2 linked regions of the Oryzias latipes genome follow. The main gene of each other region encodes a partner of the protein of the gene in region 2 in a complex. Links are inferred from orthologs where the notes say so. Each region holds a gene or a part of one and is shown on either strand. Other genes may lie near its edges.

The links.
Region 1: the proteins of sin3b (region 2) and phf12 are in contact, whole or in part, in a cryo-EM structure (PDB 8BPA), measured with the Homo sapiens proteins. The link is inferred for Oryzias latipes from reciprocal best matches to the Homo sapiens genes SIN3B and PHF12. Residues at the interface, in NP_056075.1 of Homo sapiens: Glu307, Phe311, Leu318, Glu322, Val323, Tyr324, Glu325, Asn326, Leu328, Arg329, Cys330, Ile331, Leu333, Phe334, Asn335, Glu343, Leu347, Pro350, Phe351, Lys354, Phe365, Lys395, Arg396, Glu490, Glu493, Leu494, Val497, Tyr545, Arg546, Ile547; in NP_001028733.1 of Homo sapiens: Leu20, Met21, Gln23, Ile24, Gln25, Leu27, Leu28, Pro30, Pro31, Lys32, Thr33, Asn264, Leu266, Val267, Leu269, Val271, Val273, Phe275, Thr276, Asn278, Arg279, Ser280, Arg282, Cys292, Pro293, Leu294, Pro316, Asn317, His318, Ile319.

The regions. Positions count from the first base shown.
Region 1 is NC_019871.2:27,100,068-27,109,449, forward strand, and holds the end of phf12 (PHD finger protein 12), read right to left. Parts: coding exon 8,752-9,382; intron 4,763-8,751; coding exon 4,661-4,762; intron 4,551-4,660; coding exon 4,419-4,550; intron 3,669-4,418; coding exon 3,573-3,668; intron 2,961-3,572; coding exon 2,878-2,960; intron 2,803-2,877; coding exon 2,664-2,802; intron 2,303-2,663; coding exon 1,863-2,302; 3' UTR 1,080-1,862; downstream 1-1,079.
Region 2 is NC_019862.2:32,322,440-32,331,821, forward strand, and holds the start of sin3b (paired amphipathic helix protein Sin3b), read right to left. Parts: upstream 9,117-9,382; 5' UTR 8,674-9,116; coding exon 8,563-8,673; intron 8,012-8,562; exon of another isoform or gene 7,710-8,011; intron 7,623-7,709; coding exon 7,516-7,622; intron 6,515-7,515; coding exon 6,361-6,514; intron 4,337-6,360; coding exon 3,977-4,336; intron 3,697-3,976; coding exon 3,550-3,696; intron 3,382-3,549; coding exon 3,253-3,381; intron 1,440-3,252; coding exon 1,350-1,439; intron 1,253-1,349; coding exon 1,134-1,252; intron 989-1,133; coding exon 775-988; intron 219-774; coding exon 102-218; intron 1-101.

The sequences.
Region 1 (9,382 bases), on a different chromosome or scaffold from region 2:
TGCACTGCCTAGTGGGTCTAGATGACCCAACTCCCAATGTTGGGCAATAGGGAGAACACGTCAATGCAAGGGTGGGGTCATCTAAGATAGCACAAGGGTTAATTGGGCCATGTGTGATGAGTCTTTGGGCAAAAATCTCCTTCCATCAGTGACAGTATTGAGGATGAAAATTGGCTGGATCTTCCAGCATGATGATGACCCCACCTTTACATTGACGTGTTCTCCCTACCATGACAAAGGTGGATAAAGGTGGACAGATTTCATGTAATCAATGGACACCAGTGAAGATCACAAATCATTGAAGAAAAAAGGTTCAGAGCACTGTCTAGTGGGTCTAGATGACCCAACTCCCAATGTTAAAGTGCTTGGATAGCACAAGGGTTAAGGATTGACTTGTTTTGAGACGGCACATTACCAATAGTAATAGTAACTTCTTCAAAAAAGCGGAAAAACTGTACCTCCTGAAACACCAACGACTTTAGACTTTGGCTTTTTTTCCCTGTGAACGTTAAGGTGGAATTTTATAAGGGACAAGGTTTTGATAAGGATGTGATTTGCTTTTGCTTTGAGACAACTCTGGTTATAACTGGTGTTCTTTAAAAACTGAACTTATTTAACCTAAAATGACATACTTCTGATAACATGTTTCCTAAAAAACTCACTCATTCTTTTTCTAAACCCTTTTTTGTCCCTGGAGCCTATCCTGGCCGCTCGTGGGCGAAGGCGGGGTTTACCCTCAGCAGGTCACCCATGCACACTTGCATTCATGCCTAGGGGCAATGTTACTAGGATTTTCTTTTTTCTCATTTTGTCTCTCATAGTTGAGGTATTCCCATGAAAACAATTACAGGCCTCTCATCTTTTGAAGTGGGAGATCTTGCAGAATTGGCAGCTGACAATACTTTTTTGCCCCACTCAGGAACAATGACTTTCTGGAGTCTATAGAGGCAAGACTAAAGAAATGTAGAATTCATTGTAAAAAGCTTTCAAGACAAATGGATACAGAATGCCATTTACCACAAATCTAACGCTCTCCTTCCTGACAGTGAGGGCTGATGCCGGGACAAAGATGCACAGAGTTTGTTATTAAAAAATCTTTCTGTATTTACATGTTTAACAGACAAGCTGGTACTGCTTATATACAAAGCTGCATGATGTCAAAATGAGTGCTAAAACACTACAGTATTAACAGATGGACTACAATGGAAAATACAGACTAAGAACAAGTTTTATCACAAAACATTTGGTACTCTACACTGTATCACAATTTCCATGGACTGTACAATTAAAAACCCCAAAAGGTAAATCTACATGAAATCCAATGTTTCTCAAAAAGAGAAAGACTGAATTATAAATATTTACAATAGTTATGTACACATATAGTGTGTAGGCATGTATGTACTCATACATTTATAGCTACCTGTGGTGCAAAAGGAGCAGAGGGAAAAAATTTTAAAAAATAAATCAGACTATGTAATACAACAAAATAAGAGTTGTGCTAAATGGGTTGACTGACATAATAAGGTTACATCATATATATATATATATATATATATATATATATATAGAACTAATACACAGGCAATAGAAATACTGAGCGCAGGTAAATAAGGTTCGCTCAAGTCCTGATGGTCTGAAGTGAACTCAGGTTTACCGTCAGTCATTTTCAAAAAAAAAATAAAAATAAAAGATTGTCAACATTACTTCAAGTTCATGCAAAAAAAAAAAAAAAAAAAACCAAAAAAAAAAAAAGCATTTAAAACAAACCAATGTTTCCCTGCTGACCAAGCAGCTGTGCAGCTTTCCCTTCATTGTGACTTGGAAGGTGCAAACTAAAGTAGAGGGTGGGCGTCTTGTGCGGTTTAAGAGACAAAGTTGGAGCGCAGAACGGGCACTTGGTGGGCGCAGACCACGTCAGGGTCCGCCTCGTCCTGGCTGGACGGGCTGCTCAACGTGGCGGTGCTGGGCGGTGTGGAGGCGGGTAACTGTGCGGAGCCGGACACGCCGGTGCTGGGGGAGCTGCTCGTGGAACTGGCGGCAGGCTCTTCTTTTGGCAGTTTACTGGCAAACTCGGCAATGCTGAACACGAACTGGAGGCAGCCCAGTTTGATGTAGCTGCCGTGGTGAAGGAGAGCCGTGCCCTCCCAGCCCGCACCGCTGCCTCCGATCAGGCTGGAGCTGCTGGACTTGCAGCCGCATGGCGGCCCCGCGCCACACTGGGGCTGGCTGCTCATCACCCCGCCCGCCGGCAGCACGGACGCCCCGGGGCCCGAACCCTCGCTCTCCTGCTTCCTGTTGTGTCCTGCACAGACGACGGAGTGGAAAACAAACTGTAACACAATCACAAGTGAGGCGAGATGGAAAAATGACCTACCGACTTCATGTCTTCTACAGAATCACTGGTATGAAGCCCACTGAGACGGCTCTTGTTGTAATATCGGGCTACACACATAAAATGGAATTGTATCAAACTCACACTGAGACAGCCATTGTCTCATAACCAGACATGTGTGCCAATCATATTTTAGATTTGTATACGCTGAGGACGGCTAGTCTTTGTGCAGAAAGTAAGAAAAATCAGAACATTTCTTTGAATTAACTTTTATAAGGCAGAATATGAGTAGAAACCAGTGAAGACGTCTTTCTTTTGAGCAGATACCCACGGATAATGCTTTGCACTCTGGACACCAGGCCGCAGGGTGGGGATGGCGAGGCCTTTTCGGAGAAGTCACAGGAGTAGAGGACGTTGTCCACCGTGGTGCCGTGCTCGCTGTAGTTTAGGAGCTCGTAATGCTTGGTGTTCTGGGGAAAGAGTTGGACAAAGTCCTTCCATGACGGAGCCACGCTTCAGGGCAAAGCGTGTCCACAAAGCCATACCTCGTCATAGAAAATGCACGCGTGTTTCCCGGAAACAAAGTTGCAGTGACCGTAATTTGAAAGGCAAACGTCCATGTCGGCTCCTTCACAGAAAAAGGTTGCAGGTTAGAAACCCCTTTTCAGACTGTGGCATATCAATATCCTCATGATGTAGCTTTTATGTGGGCTTCATGTGCTCCACACATTTTCTGAATCTTTTATCCATCAATAAAACACAGTTTCTCCCAAAAAGATCTTTGCTTTTTTAAAATAATATTCATATAATAGAGCAACAAAATATTATAACGACTGGTTTTTAAACAAATATCGTAAGTTTTTTCTTGGATACAATATAGATGCTTTAGGGCTGTAAAACTCCTCACTACACACTTCCTACACTTTTCTCAGACTCACATGAACATTTTCACACCTTTCTTTTTAAAAAAGTCCACTATTACAGAATGAAAACAAAGATCTGTGATATATACAACTCTGGCAAACTGTACACAATCTGTACTGAAGGCACAGCATGGAAGATTGATTGACAAGGTCTACAGCCAATCAGGACACAGAACGTAGTGTGCTGTAGATAAAAAAAAACTAAGCATGCAGGACGGCGGGAGCACTGTATTTTTGATGTTCTTTAATATCTTTAGTAATTGATGTGCCGATTTCAAATGCAAACAAAACCTGCAGTGAATGTCAGAGTCTCTTACCGGATCCTATGTATAGCGTCCTGTAGCACATGCTTACAGCGTGACCTTTTCCTATCAGAGGATAGAAAACAGCTCGGGCTTGGACTTTCTTCTGACCTGAAGAAAAGGTGGAGTTACAAACAACCTCACCAAAAAAGTGTGATACACGTTTGTTTTCTATTCTGACAGTAGAAATTCAGAAGTCACACAAGACGAGAGAGTAGCTGCGTTTCCATGACTCCCAGATGCGGAACACTGTCAAAATTCTAGAAATGTTTGCAATTACACCGTTTCCATTTAATCCTAATTATGTGAATGAACACAAACCAACTCACATCATAAGTCATTCAGAAACGTGAACTTTGATTTACAGCAGATACTAGCGCTCATCGTCATCTTTCAAAGGAGACGTCGGCGTCTTATTCAGGCTGTGGAGCGGCGAGCTCCTGACACGTGGGAGTGGCTACGGATTCAACCATTTTGGGAAACTGTTGTTGGTGATTTTACAGAGGAGCTGCAAACAATCCAATAATTCTGCACGACACGCTCAACTTTTGATGAGCTGTGTGGCGTGATATGGCGCCCGCTGTGCAGCGCACAAGTTCCTACCAAAAAGCGAGTCACTCTCTCCATCTAAAACTGTCTACCTGTGGAGTGTTGTTGGTCACATGACTCATTTAATTCAAAAACAAGTCTTTCCATTGCAGTTTTGTGAAATACGCCTCAAAAACCATCTTTTTCCCCCCAATAAATGCAAGTTATTTTTGGGAGTTGACATTTTTCCATTAGGCAAATGTAATATCCCAAATCCAATTTGAGCAACGTCCTATTCATGATAACACGGCTAGTGTCAGGGGTAAGACTTACTGTCGGGTTGGGGGGATTTAGAGGAACCTGTGCAGGGTGGAGTGCTGGGTATCTTAGGGGGAAATAGCTGCTGGATCCTCTGATATGCCAGCATCTTGATCATCTCTGCATCCAGTTTATCAAGCTGAATGTCTGTTACCCATGAGCACACAGACAGAAAACAAGACGTGCATGTCAGCCTTCAAGCCACAAACAGCAGCAATTCAGCTGGGTCGCTCGTCATCAGGCGGGGACACCTTTACCTCCATCCTCCTTTCCATCCTTCGTACACGAGGACAGGTTGGCGACAGACGAAGGTGTGCCTGGCAGCAGCATGTCCATCAGGCCGGGAGGGGCTTTCATATCTGTGGGACAAACAAAACGGCTTTAAACTGGATCACTGAGGCACATAAACAAGTTCAGCAAACACTAATTCACATATAAACTTGATCTAGAAAGGGATGAAGTGAACTTTTAATTATGGTTATGCCATTTTTATCCAAAATCGAAAAAGCTGTCATTTTCAAGGACATAGTATCTCCAGAGCAACAAGAGTTCATCAGAAATTTGCCTCTAAAGTGACGGCTTTGTTTACCGTAATTTCCAGATTATAAGCCGCTACTTTTGTCACACGTTTTCAATCCTGCTGCTTATTCCATGCTGCGCTATTTTATGAATTTTTTTAATGCATTTCTAATAACGGCCACTAGGGGCGACCCAGCAGAAAGGGTTAGAGTGAGACGGTGTATGTGTCGAGGAAGACGCACGTTTAATGTAAATTCCCGCTTTGTGAATGAATGGCACGAACACAACCTCATTATAATAAAAATATGAGAATAAAATAAAAGAAGAAATGCATATGATGCAGCTTTCAACTTTCAAGTTAAAAGCCATTGTTAAAGGCAGTGTGTTTGGAAAAGCCGGTCTGCTGCGAGAGGACAGCGCAAGCTCAGGAGGGAATTTGCCTCAGGATGAGAGTGACACTGACAACTACAATGAAGAAGAGACAGAGTGTGGTGAAGAATATCTGACGCTATTCCAATCCAACACTGAGGAAGACTTCCATGTTTCAGTGCACAGGAGGAAGATGAAGAAAGCTCTCATATGTTTCACACCCCAAACACACTTCTGCTGCGCGCTCTCGCTCCCTCCTCTTTCTTACACACACCCACACCCACACACATACACATCCTCATTCTACAACACATGTTTCAATGTGGGCACATGCGGCTTATGCATGTACAATATGGTTTATCCTTTAAAAATGTAATGGGGTGCGGCTTATAACCAGGTGCACTATAGTCCGGAAATTACGGTACATTCTGTCCTCGTATCTTCCATCCCCTCACAAACCCAACCGAACATCCGCAGTGCGACAAAAACTGGGAGCAGTGTCAGAGCTGTCCATCCGTACAGTTCTGATCCAGATTCCAGCTCAGAGGAGGAAAACAAAGACGCTCATGGATATGTTTGTTAGTGGATGATCAGAAAGGGGCGGAGCTTGTGGCCTGCCGACTAATCACAAGCTTTTTCAAAACAGCATTTTTTTCACTCTGCTCCTGCCTCACCACAGTTTGAACAAAGAAATACTGAAAACTGCAGTTTTAATCTTAATTTTTTTCATGCATGGTGAGAAAAACAGAAAAAATGTCCTCGTTGGGGTGGGTCTTTTTTTTTTACTTTTAATGGTAAACTTTGATGATATAACGATGTTTTGGGCTGTTTTTACAAGTCAAAATAAGCATGCTGCTACTTCTATTGTTAAATATTTACTTTATGAAACCGATGAAATAACTGTTCCGTCTTTAGAGGCCTGCTCCTCTCTGTTTAATGTAATAGTCAGAAGAATACTTTAAAAATAAATAGTCACTTGGGTTTAAGATGTGTTGGTAAGTTTTAAGACAGCTTGGAAGAAAACCTTGTTCCATGTGAAAGTAGGAGAGGCGGGTGTGGAAGACGTATACGGACCCTTTCCACAACCATTTGAGTGTCATGGAAAAGTGGATCCATTTCCATAATTCCATTCAAAACATTGTACTTTCATGGAATACAGATTCAGGGCCCGCTTTTTAATTGATTTCAAGTATTTGCTTATTTGAAATAAATTGGCGTTCCAGCTCAAGAAGCCTATGACAACAAGATTTCCTAAAATTAGAATGCCGTGGAGAAATCGGCCCAAATTCTGCAGGCCGTGAATGTTTGAAACGGAGTGTCACCAACTAATCATCTACGGCAGGGGTCGGGAACCTTTTTGGCCAAGAGAGCCATAAATGCCACATATTTTGAAATGTAATTTCGAAAGAGCCATACAATAATGTAGTGTCCCTTCCCCACACTGAGGCACGGAGACTTAACCTCTTTTAAAGTTCTTTATTCTGGTTACTGCAGACCGCAACAAACGCCGTTCAATTCATTCAGCAACTCCTGAATCTCTCCCGCCGACACGAGAGCGCTTCTCCCAACTATATATTCCCCTGCTCCCGCTGCAGCCCTCCCATTTCCCTTATTCGGCCCATAGCTGAACACCATTGGTCCAAACTACCTAACAACAGGCTGAGCGACAGAACTGAGGGCCAATCAGATCTCTGCTTGACGCGTTCAATGAACTCCAGAACTTTTAACGCGGCCCAACAGCCATCCAACTCAGTCCGCGACAATTTGTTTAAAACTAAATATATAAATGAATGTGTGCATTTGATTTAATTTCAACATTTTTAAAGTACAATAAGTCTGTGGATTCTTTTTAATAACATTGTTATTCTGTTGGTAATAAATGATGAGTATTTCTCGTGGTAGTTCTGCTGGTGGTCTAGTCTGGTTGATACGTGGTGAGTTTCTGCTTCGTTCAGGCGTTGAGACTTTAAACGTGATCTTAGGTCTGAATGTTCTGTAGATGTGAGACAGACTGATCACATGCAGACGGGGAGCCAAACACACACTCACACGCTGCAGTGAGTGACGGGCAGCAGGTTTTACGTTATTACAATCCCTGCGCGATTCACCTGCTGCCTGTCCCCACAACACCTCACCCCCACCCTCTGCTTTCTTCCTCACACATCCCGTCCCCGCAACTGCGCGCTCTTTCTCGGAGACGGGAGCGTGCAGTTTTAGGGACGTCAATTCACAGGTTTACGGTTGGTACAAACTCTGTGAAATAGTAGATAATAGTAAACTGATAATGCTGGCGCAGATTTTTCTCTCCAAGCACCACGCCTCTGGCATCGCATCGCGCCCGAGAAGGACTGGTCTAATAAAAAATAAAAAAGTATAATTAAAGATTTGTCTGTGAGCCACAAGTGACCATCAAAAGAGCCATATATGGCTCGCGAGCCATAGGTTCCCGACCCCTGATCTACTGCATAAAGTAACTGCACAGGTTCCCCAGACGTTGGTTCAGTTTGGTTAAATATAAGGAAGACTTCAGGCTTTCCAACTTCCCAAAAGACCATCGTTGACCTCTGGGTGAGCCACCAAAGTTCAAAAGTAGCTCAGGAGGCTGTCTGTTCACAGAGCGCTGTGTCCAAGCAGATCAATGGAAAGTCTATAGGAAGGTCAAAATGTATCAGGAGAAGAAGCAGCAGCAAAAGAGACGACTGTGGGCTTCAGCGGATCATCAAAAGGACAAGATCCAAAAAGCTGCAGACCTCCAGAAAGAGTGGAATGAGGTGGAGGAACAGCTTCCAAAACCACCACATTCAGGCCCATTCTGGAGACGGGCTACAACTGTCGGGTTCTTCGGGTCAAGACACGTCTGAGCCTGGACCAACGGGGGAAACGGAGAAGAAGAACTGGACTGTGGGCCAGTGGTCCAGGGTCCTGTTTTCTGGTGAAAGGAAAGTGGGCTGAAACAGCTGCAGTGGGCCCAGACAAACATAAAGAATCCACCGGGCTTCCGCTGATCGGAGTAAGCTCAGCCCGCCCATCGATCTCAAACGCAGATATGAAAACAGCTGGAAGCAAAGAGGGACTTCTTCTACGAGGCTGACGAAGAAACTGTAGAATTTGGAATGAAACTTCAGTAAATATGATCTATTAATGCAGCAAAGTCAACAAATGACCATTTTTAGTTCTTCAGAATCTATGAAATGTTCTGTTTACTAATGTGGAACAGTAAACTTTCAAGGCTTTTATTTATGAATAAAATATGCGTCTTTAGTAGGTTTGTTTAATAAAATGACATCAAAATGGTTAGTGACTAGACAAATCCTGCCGACTTTCATTTGCATCGAGTATTGAGAAAAATCATTCAAAAAAACAGCATTTGCAGAATAATTTGGAACGCTGTACATAGAAGCTGCTAATTAAAATGTATTGAATGTGTTTATCTGTGCTGGTTCATGAGTGCTGCTTTTACCCATTGGTGGTGGGAACAGCTTGGGTTCTCCCGTGCCTTGCTTCTGCTCGTCTTTTGATGCATGGGAGAGCGAGCTGCTTGTGATGGAACAGTGACGCGGTTCCTCCTCCTGAAGCTTGCCGTGGCTCTTGTTGTTCAGCCCGCCACTGTTGGGCCGAGTCGTGAGAGCGGTGGGGCAGTTTTTCAGAGCACAGGTCTCTGTGGCGCCCTCCTGCTCCTTTTTGAAAGCTTCCGTTTGGACATGGTTCCCTAGTCCTGCAACAGGCTCCGATTCGGAGCCGGCTTTCAACCTGTGTTGCAGCTCAGCGTGCCTGGAGGAGGCCAACGTGCTCTTACAGTCTAGATCCGTGCAAGGGCTGGGAGGCTGAAGCTTTGCCACAGATCCATTGGCTTTATGGCAGCTCTGGCATGACGTGGTGTCACACTGACAGAGAGCAAGCTTTGCCGGACAATCCTTGGAAAACGAGGCCTCTAGAGAGCTTTTGGATAAACTACCTGTAGAGGCTTTAGGACAGGGTAAAGGTGAAGGAGTCCTTCCAAAAGAAGCTGGAGTCTTCTTTTCTTCCGATAAGATGCAGGATTTTATGCAGCTCTTCTGCTCAGAATCAAACTCTGCAGCTGATGTGGATCC
Region 2 (9,382 bases):
ACCATCTTGGAGTTTGTTGGACAAAGGTTTTCAGCACGCTTTGGTTTAATAAATGGCATCTGTTGAGTCACAGATGAGAAATCTTTGTGCTGTTGGTTTACCTCGAACCTTTCATCCTCGCAGCGATGCAGCTGCTCTTCATAAGGAGTCTTCTTCGAGCTGACAAATGTAGAATCTTCTGACCAGGAAGGAAATGACACCCAGGTGTCATTCAGGACCTTAGGACGCACAAATGGAAAGTATGAACACAAAGAGAAGACATTCCAACGTCTGCTATGGTTCCTTTGATGCACACGAAGGCTTTTCCAGAGCATCCTTTGGTTGGTGACCTGCAGCTCCTGGAGTCTGACACAACGGCCCCTTTTTCCTAGGTAAATAATTCAAAATAAATCAGATTTAAAAAAGAAAACTCCTTCTAAGGAACGGTGTCCTTTAAAAAGGACATAAAAACGTAGTGACTGAGAGTTAAACCTGAGCTTCCTGTTATCTCCCTTCAGTGCAGGAAACACCAGAACATCGACTCTGAAAGACCAGATAATCCAATCCCACAATTCTTTGCTGTCATCGCGTAAAAAGGAAGTGATAACTGAAGGTTGACTCAAAGCCAAAAAGGCTGTCAGACCAACTTAGGGTTTAATCCTGTACAGAAACATTTTGTAATTCCAAGCCTTCTTTAAATCGTGACGCATCATAGCGAGGTCAAGGAGCTGAGAACCCCCCCCCCCCCAGAACCAAAGGAAACAGCACCGTTCAAGCCCCCAAAGGTTGTGGTACCTCTTTGCATAAGGCTGTGCGCCCGCTGCATTTGGGCTGCTGGTAGGTCTTTGGCAGCGCTCGATAGCTGGACCCCAGCCGCTTGCAGGAGGCATAATCCACCTCCCTGCCTCCACCCCCCTCCATGTAGCGGTCCGACAGCCCCGACACGCCATGACACAGCTCTTTGTCCCCCAGAAAGGACTTGAACTGCGAGTACAGCTCAGGAAACTTCCTGTTGGGGAGGGACAGGTCAGTTCAGGGAGACCCAGCTGCAACGACACACCTGCTGTCGCACAATTCAATCAGATTCCAGCCTTTTCCTGTTGTGGGATCCGACATTTACTAAACACGCTGCCATTTGTAAAGGTTCTTCTCACCCCAGGAAAGGTGTGACCAGCTGGAGCAGCTCTGCTCCAGAAACCACTTCCTGGTTGAACAGCGCGATGCAGCGCAGAAAGTTCTCGTACACTTCCTGGCTTTTGAAAAGGCGGCGGACCTAAAAGATTGATTAGGGTAATCAGATAAAAATGTCAAAGCAAGGTAAAGCTTAGAAAACAGGAAATCAAAAATGTAATAAAATCCATAAACCTTACTTTGTCAAAGAAGGAGAATTCCCTCAGGACGCCGTGCTTCCCGGCTGAAGCAAAAGACGGATCTTTGGTGCAAGAATACTTCATTTTTTTCTGAAAAAGAAAAACTATTTCATAAATATCTAGAACATTTGATTTCCTTAATGGCACAGCAGAATTGAGAAACTTCAGAGATTTTATGAATACCAATAATCTAATTCTTACAGAATGGAAAGCACATCAGAAAGCGTCTAATAAACATTTTCATCTGCTCTGTAGCAGTCTGTACAGGGAGAGAAAGCTGCTTTGAATTCAAAATGCACAACATTTGACGTTATTTCCTTATGGAAGGAGTCACAGAGCAAGAGTCAGAGTTAATCAGCAGCGTTCGCTGGAAACAACAGCAGACTGGATGCAGCTTTAAGACTGAGCAGCAAAGGCTGATGGGAATCTTTAGCTACATGCATCCTACTGCATGTGGCTGTAGTTTATGCAGATTTGGTGTATTGTCAGTGAACAGTAGTGAAGAAAACAAACTACGAAGTGGCAAAATATACTAAAAAAGGAGAGAATGAAGATTTGAGGAATAATCAATAAGACAAAAAATTTACATTCTAAAAAAGATGAAGCTGCACTAATCTGAATGTTCACTAAATAGAAAGACAGAGCAAAGACAGAAAAGGGCTGTTTTTATTAAAGAATAACCTGTCAAACCCCAAAAAATCTATTTACTGCAGCGACATATGGATCAGATATGGATAATATCAATATGTATCATATGTGGTCCAGACTTCTGACTTGAGGGTTGTACAAAAGCAAATATCTTCTTAATGTCATTTTAATCTTTATTTATAAGATAAAAGCGCTCTGTGGTCGTCACAGGTGCATCTATGGAAGGACACACAGAACCTGAACTGGTTTTTGGCATCTTTGTATAAATAAAACAAAACGTCATCACAGTTTCAGCAAATATTCTGGACAGTCAAAACTGAGACGGAGCTTCTCAGAGATGATCCAGTGTGTTCCGTCTCAGAGTGATGGGTTAGGGAAACCTTCACAAACTCCAGAGTCCCACGAGTTTCACCGCCGACCTCCACCTGCAGCTCCTCACTGGCAAAGCACACCTGATCCAGGTAATCGGCAGCAGGTGGGGTCGAGTTTAGGAGAAACCAGCAGAATGTTGGCGCTGGCGGGGTAGAATTCGACACCCCTGCTTTTAATCAAAGTGTGGCCCCACACTCAGAGTGCCGCTCCTTCCAAAAACCAGCCAATCAGGCTTCAAATGGCCTTTTTTGATTTAAATCAAAGAAAAGGTTAAAGGTGCACATTTTCATCTTATCGAGCTTTAGGTCAAATCTTGTAATGGGGGGTCCTTTCGTATGCAAACACACCTTCCTTTCTCTTAATTCTGTGTTTTGCTGTCATTAAATACATCAGACCCTGCAGTGAATAAACGCGACTTTTTCCCCCTTAGGTTTGGTTTTTACTCAGATTAACTGTAGAATACGTTTACAGTTTAACATTGAAATCCTTCTGATTGAAGAATAGACAACTGTTAGAAACCAGGAAAAAAAACACAACATGTCAAGCCAGGGCCGGTTAATACTTCAACAAAGCCTCATCAACAAGAATAAAGTAATTCAGAGTTAGTAAAGGGGTCCAGTCAGATGAAGCTACACAAACACAGGGGTTAGTGGGACAGAAAGGAACAACAGTTCCAAGGTAAAATGTTCATTCTGTGCCACTTTGCATTCTTTAAACACTGATAAAGCTATGAAATGAATCGATTGTGTTTCAACATCACACAATAAAGGCAAACTGCAGCATTTCTCACTATTTAAATCAAGCTTTCTTCTTAACTGAAGCATTTTGTCACTTTTGGCCGGCGTCGTTTGGACAAATGCGTCCATAAGAAGCACGAGCATACCTTCAGCAGAGGAGACATGTGCTGCAGGAGGACGGGCCGGGGCCTCTTCTTGTTCTGTTTGCTTGATACATCGTCTTCCTCAGACTTTTTCAGCGGCTCTTTGCTCCCCGTCAGCGAACTCCCCGTGAACTAAATTAGCAAAAGAAGAAGTAAATATCAGCAGAGACATTCTGAAAAGCAAATACAGCTAGTCTGTCTCCATTGGAGAAGCCGGACAAACCGGAAAAACCAGGTTCGTTTGTGACTCTTCACTTATTTCATTAAGGTTAGAAGTTCACATGCTGGAGCTTCACTGACCAGAGATCTCTTAGCATCGGGTAAGAACTGTCCAAACTCAGCCAGAAGATCCTCCTGCCCCTTAAAAAGGCTGGCCACTTTGGAAAAGACTTCGTCTTCAGTCATGCCGCTGCTGCCCCGACTCTCCTTGGCTTCCAGCTGCTCCTTCTGCAAAGTGACGGGGGAAACCGTGTTGACATGGAGCCAAAGGGGGAAACACTCTTTCTTTTAAAGAACAATCACATCTACAGTTATCAATATCTTGTAAAACAGCCGTTTTGATGCAATAGTGATGAATGGCGTGCATTCTGACACATCCACCCCATGACACACGTTTCAGGAATAAAACGGCCAACAAGCCGCTGCAGTCTCGTCTGTACACTGTGATAAATGTAAAACGTTTCAGTTATGGAGCTGGAAATCTGCTTCCTAATCAGCCAGTTTTTACCTGATAGGTGTGGAGGATTTCTAGGAAGGCTCTATAAATCTCTGGGTGGTCCAGAAAACGGTTTTTAATCTTGTTAACATAGCTGATGGCACTGTCAAACTCAACAGGACTGGTCTCTGACGCCGGCGGGGACACCGAGGAGACGGCGGCCGGATTGTGGCTCTCTTTAGTCAGGGGGAGAGAAAGTCTGCTGGGGGGCTCTGCGGGTCCCGTCGAGCTGGACGACAGGGAATCGGACGAAGGCGCCTTGACTTCACTGGTCTGGACCGGTCCAGCTTCAGCGTGGACCGTGGAGGCGGGGCCTGAGGACGAGCCCACTGCAGGAGGGGTCAGATTTTTAGTGTGCTGTCCCGGAGACACCTGCATGGGTGGACAGGGGGGGTGGACAGGGGGGGCAAACAGTGCATGAGACATTAAAGAAATGAAATGTTAAAGAACATGAAACATAATTACATCGGCTCTGAAATAAAGTGGATTTTTTAAAGCAAAAGAATTCAAACTCCATAAATTAAAAATAACACTGATTTGAGCTTTTTATTAAGCAGCTTTAGCTCCAATAATCCACAGTTTAATACAACAATCTGGTTTTACAGCACAATGGAGAGCTTTTAGATTTTCTTTAAGCACTTTGTAAATAAATGCAAACATTTATAGGCAAAAAGGAGCAGAAAAAAGTGTCTTTTTAGATTTTCATATGCAATAACAGCGCTATGAGGTCATCCAATAAGCTCTCAAATTTGCAACATTTTGTGTGAGAAACATGAAACGATTAAGTTTAGCAAAGACGATCATGATTCAAATCAATTGGAATATTATTGAAAGTGTATAGATTTCAAAAACTGAAGTGACAAAATGATTAAATGATTTCCAAAATCCATAAACTCCACCATGGGATGCATCTAAAATCAGAATCTTCTCTGACAGTTTGTCATTCTGGGAAACATCCGACAGCAACGTTACATTCAGAGGATTCAGTTCCAGGTTCATCAAAAGTGCAAATAAGCCCACAAAGAGACATTATTCCACACAAAGTTTAAATAACAAATACATCTGCAGCTCATGTGGGTCAAACGCACTAATACAATCTGATGGCAGCAAACTCTCCAAAGTTTGGCCGCGTTTTGTGAATAACCATCACTCAGACATCAGTTTTCTCTCAAAAACACACTATGATAAAACAAAATGTTGTTTTTAACCTGTTCTGCTGATGGAGGAGAAACAGAAAGAATAAGTAAATAAATAAATAAAGACAAAATAAAAAGCCTATAGTTGTTACGTGTAAGGGTCAATGGCCGACGAAGTGTGCATTATCACTTTTTAACGCACACCGTGGAAGCCTGGGTGCTTCCGCGAAGTGCGTTAGTTCTGATAATGAACACTTCAAAGGCCATTAACCCGCTTATACCATGGTCACTTACAAAAGCAATAAATAGTAACCTGTTTTTGGTACTTAATTCTTGTTTTTTGTTCCGATTTGGATCACTTTTCTCACAAAAAGCGGACTATTTGTTCGCGCCGCATCACTGCTGCAGTCAAGATTCGGCGATATATATCTATGCTGATCTTCCCGATGGGTTGAATAAAGCATCAGTTCAGAGAGAAAGTTCACTTTTTACCGCTTGTTTTTGTCCAAATGATGAAGCAAAAGGTTGTTTTAAAGAAGCCGGCGTAGTGATACAGAACATTTAAGCTAGGTGACCGGAACTTCTTTTTTCACCGTGCAGTTATCCTGTGGTATATCACTTTTTAATGCACACCCAGCAGCCAATCAGATTCAAGTATTCACCCGGGCCATGGTATAAAAAAACTACAATGGACAGCCTCCAGCCCCCGCTCCATTCTGATCCTCCACCTGCAGACCAACAGATCCATGATCTTCTTTGTTTTCCTGGTCTGAGCTGGAATCTGGATCAGAACTGGACGGCTGGATGGATCTGATCACTGTTTTTGTTGCACTGCTAATGCTAGGTTGGGGGTGTGAGGGGCAGTAAGCTAGTGGGAGAGGGTGTAAACTGTAAACAGATGATGGGAAGGAGGACTGGCTTTCACCACGCCAACGGTCCCGCCCACAACGCCGCTCTACAGGAACTATGTCCAAGAAAATGACTGGTTTAGTTTAGCCGTTACCTATTGATTCTATGACTTTGTGTTCTTTATGATTCATGTTTATTGAACAACTACCGTCTGAAGCCCTTTGAGGTGACTGTTGTTGTAATATTGGGCTATAGAAATAAAACTGAATGGAATTTTCATCATAATTAAAAGGCCACTGGGAACACTTAGAAACTAGATCCAAAGATGGTCAGAGTGGAACTTTAAGACCTCTAAACTCTGTCACCCTGAAATCTTTACGGGTTTCAGTACAAGCGGGAAGTGTGGCTCACCTGAGCGGAGAACGGAGACTGGAGAAACGCCATCCCATTTTTGGGAATCTCTATCCGATAACCTGGAGGCAGGAAGGCGTTGAAGCCCAGGACCAGGTCTGGATGTCCATGAAATAGCTGTGACACGCGGTTTATGACCCCCGGTGTGTCAATGCTGTTGAAGAGAGACGACGACGATGATGATGATGATGATGGGTGAAGATAGAGACACATACTTTCATGCTTCACTACTTTAAGATAAAGTCAAACATTTTAGTTCTGGATGGAACCAGTTAAGAAAATGTTTTTGGTTTCTGTTGTATTTATTTATGTTAAATAATCAGTTTTGACAAAATAATTGTCTTTGGACTCATTAAAGATTTGTTAACTACCCTTAAAGTAACCAAGCATCACAACCACTAACCTCACTCTGCCTTTCATGTCACTCGTGTTTCTGGGTGAATTCAGCATCGGCTTAGCAGCATTTTTGCCTCCTTTTTAAGTTCAGAAACCGTCCTGTTCTTGGCAGGACTGCTGCAGACTCAGTCTGCGGATCGGCACAGGAAGACCCAGACCAGGGCCCGCTTAGGGCTACATTGGGCGGCCATGGCGCAGAGGAAGAACGTTCGACTTCTGATGAGAAAATCAAGGTTCTGTTCTCGCCTTGTCCGCCCAAGTGTCATTGGGCAAGGCACTGAAGCCCACATTGCTCCTGGTGGTTATAGGTTGGTGCCAGTGTTTGGCATCAGTGTGTGGGTCTGTGGCAGAAAAGCGCTTTGGACTCTAACAAAGTACTAAACCACTATCATAAAAATACGCCGTTTACTATTTAGGCAGCAGCGGGATACGCCTCGCCCAAGAACCTACACTGGGAAGCATACACTGGCTTCTTGCACGCCAGTCCAACACCCAGCCAAGGTTGGGGTTGTGAGGGGCTGTAAGCTAGCGGGGCAGCATGTAAACAGATGAGATGATGGGAAAGGGGCCGGCTTACTCTGCACCACTGACACAACTCAGAGCTGAATTTCTAATGAACTACTGCCACTTTGCAGAAACTATATCCTAGAAAACGGCATAAATGTAATTAAAAGATGACTAGGAATGTTTTTGCAACAGATGCAAACTACTTTACTGTAAATCCCTGTAAATCAGGGTTTGGTTTGCTCCTATGGTTACCTCTGTGACTTGAACTCCTTCATGATGTCCAGGAACTTGTTATAGATGCCCGGATCATTGGCAAACCGGATCTTCACTTGGTCCAGATAAGATAAGGCATCTTCAACCTTTAAAACAAAAGACCGGCAGTTATTGTCAGGTGAGATGTTGGTGCATGAAGTGGAAAAGGACAAATTCCAAAGCAGAACTGTTACCCATCATGCACCAGTGGGCAGGACTCGCAGCTGATCGGGACTTTATTTACCCGTTTAGTCTGAATGCTGGCTTTTTCAGCCCCGTTCGTTTGAGTCTGCATGATGGTTTGAAGTCAGGCTGAGCTTTATTTACCACACGCACGCACACACTCGCGCGCGCACACACACACACACACAAACTGCAAGTGACTGAAGAGGAAAGACGACGCAGCTGAACCGGGAAAGAAGCAGCTCCCGTTTCTACCGTCTGCAGCGTTTACGGCCACTAAACACCGAGAAATCACAGAAACATTCAGACGAAAGAGCGCGTAGCGTCTGAAGCTAATGCTAGCCAACAGCGGAGCGCCGTTCAGAAGTCCGACTGCTCGATCAGTACAATGCATGGGGGGGGGGGGGGGGGGTCAGACTGCGACGAAAATAAGATGTAACAGAAAACACTAAATACAGAATTCGGAATCATCAAGCACAGCCGCCGTTTCTACACGGCCTGGATGACGAGCTCCACTTTGTTTGGAGCAGGCTAAGAGAAAAGACGAACCACCACCGAGGAGGAACTTCCCACAACACGGCTGACTTCACGGCTCTGCCAGCGATGGCGTCAATGAGAAAGTAGCACAAACTGAGTCCTTCGTCTGACAATCGCTCCAGTGGTTGCTGGAAAACAGCTTCCGAGTCCAACCTCGTACGCCAGCGTTCAAATGTTCGGCCGGGAATTACTTTTCGGGCTAACTAGCTGCCTGGCGTTAGCCGGAGCCCTTCCTTTCAATAGTCGACGACCAAATGTGGAGCAGCGGCCGACGCCGTAACGGCTCCGGGGGACTTTTTCCGCTTGACGTGTCCGTCGTCCGCTTACCTTCAGCTTCTGGAAGTGTTGCTGCTGCACTTGCTTTTGTGTGATAACGTACGGCTTGTCTTGAATCTGGCTGATCTGCTTGGCGGCGCTATGCGCCTGAATCTTCGCCATTATCCCGGCGAGGAGGACCGGAGAGCCGCTACCGCAACTTAAGAGCGCAGAGGCGGCTGTTGGTTTGTTGGGCTAGCGGACAAACCTCGCTCTCGGTCGGGGAGCCAGCCTGCCTGCCTGTAACCAGCCAGCCAGCAACCCTACTTTGCTTGACTGGACAGTCTTTTGCACGCAGGCAAAAAAAAAAAAAAAAAAGGACGGGAAATCCAGCAGAGTTGAGGGGGAGACGAGCCGCTGCTGGCTACTCGCCGCGACTTTGACGAAACATCACCGTTTCACCAAACCGGCAGAGAAAAAAACATCAGAAAACAATGGTTGCCGTTAACGTATTTAAAATAGCTATCCCCTGTCTCTTTAAATTCGGCGGCAGCGGTCTATGTTAGCGTCCGGAAGCCAGAGGAGTGAAAAATAGGAGAGAAAAAAAGTGAAAAATTGAAGTGCGCAGCCGCAGAGGTGGGAGGAGCCTAATTTACAAGCATCGGATTGCTCCACTCCCCCTTCACTGCTACAAAGGAACAATCGGCGCCGAGCGACTGCCGCATACTTCCCCGCTGAAAGCGGAGCCGCCAGGCCGCTGGAAGACACCATCCTTCACAGCACATTTCAGCAAAACAAACTTCTACTATGACAGAGAACAGGAAGCAGCTATTTGGTTTAACATTTTTATTTATTTCTGATTTTTCATGATCGAGCAGGGAAAATAGCAGCC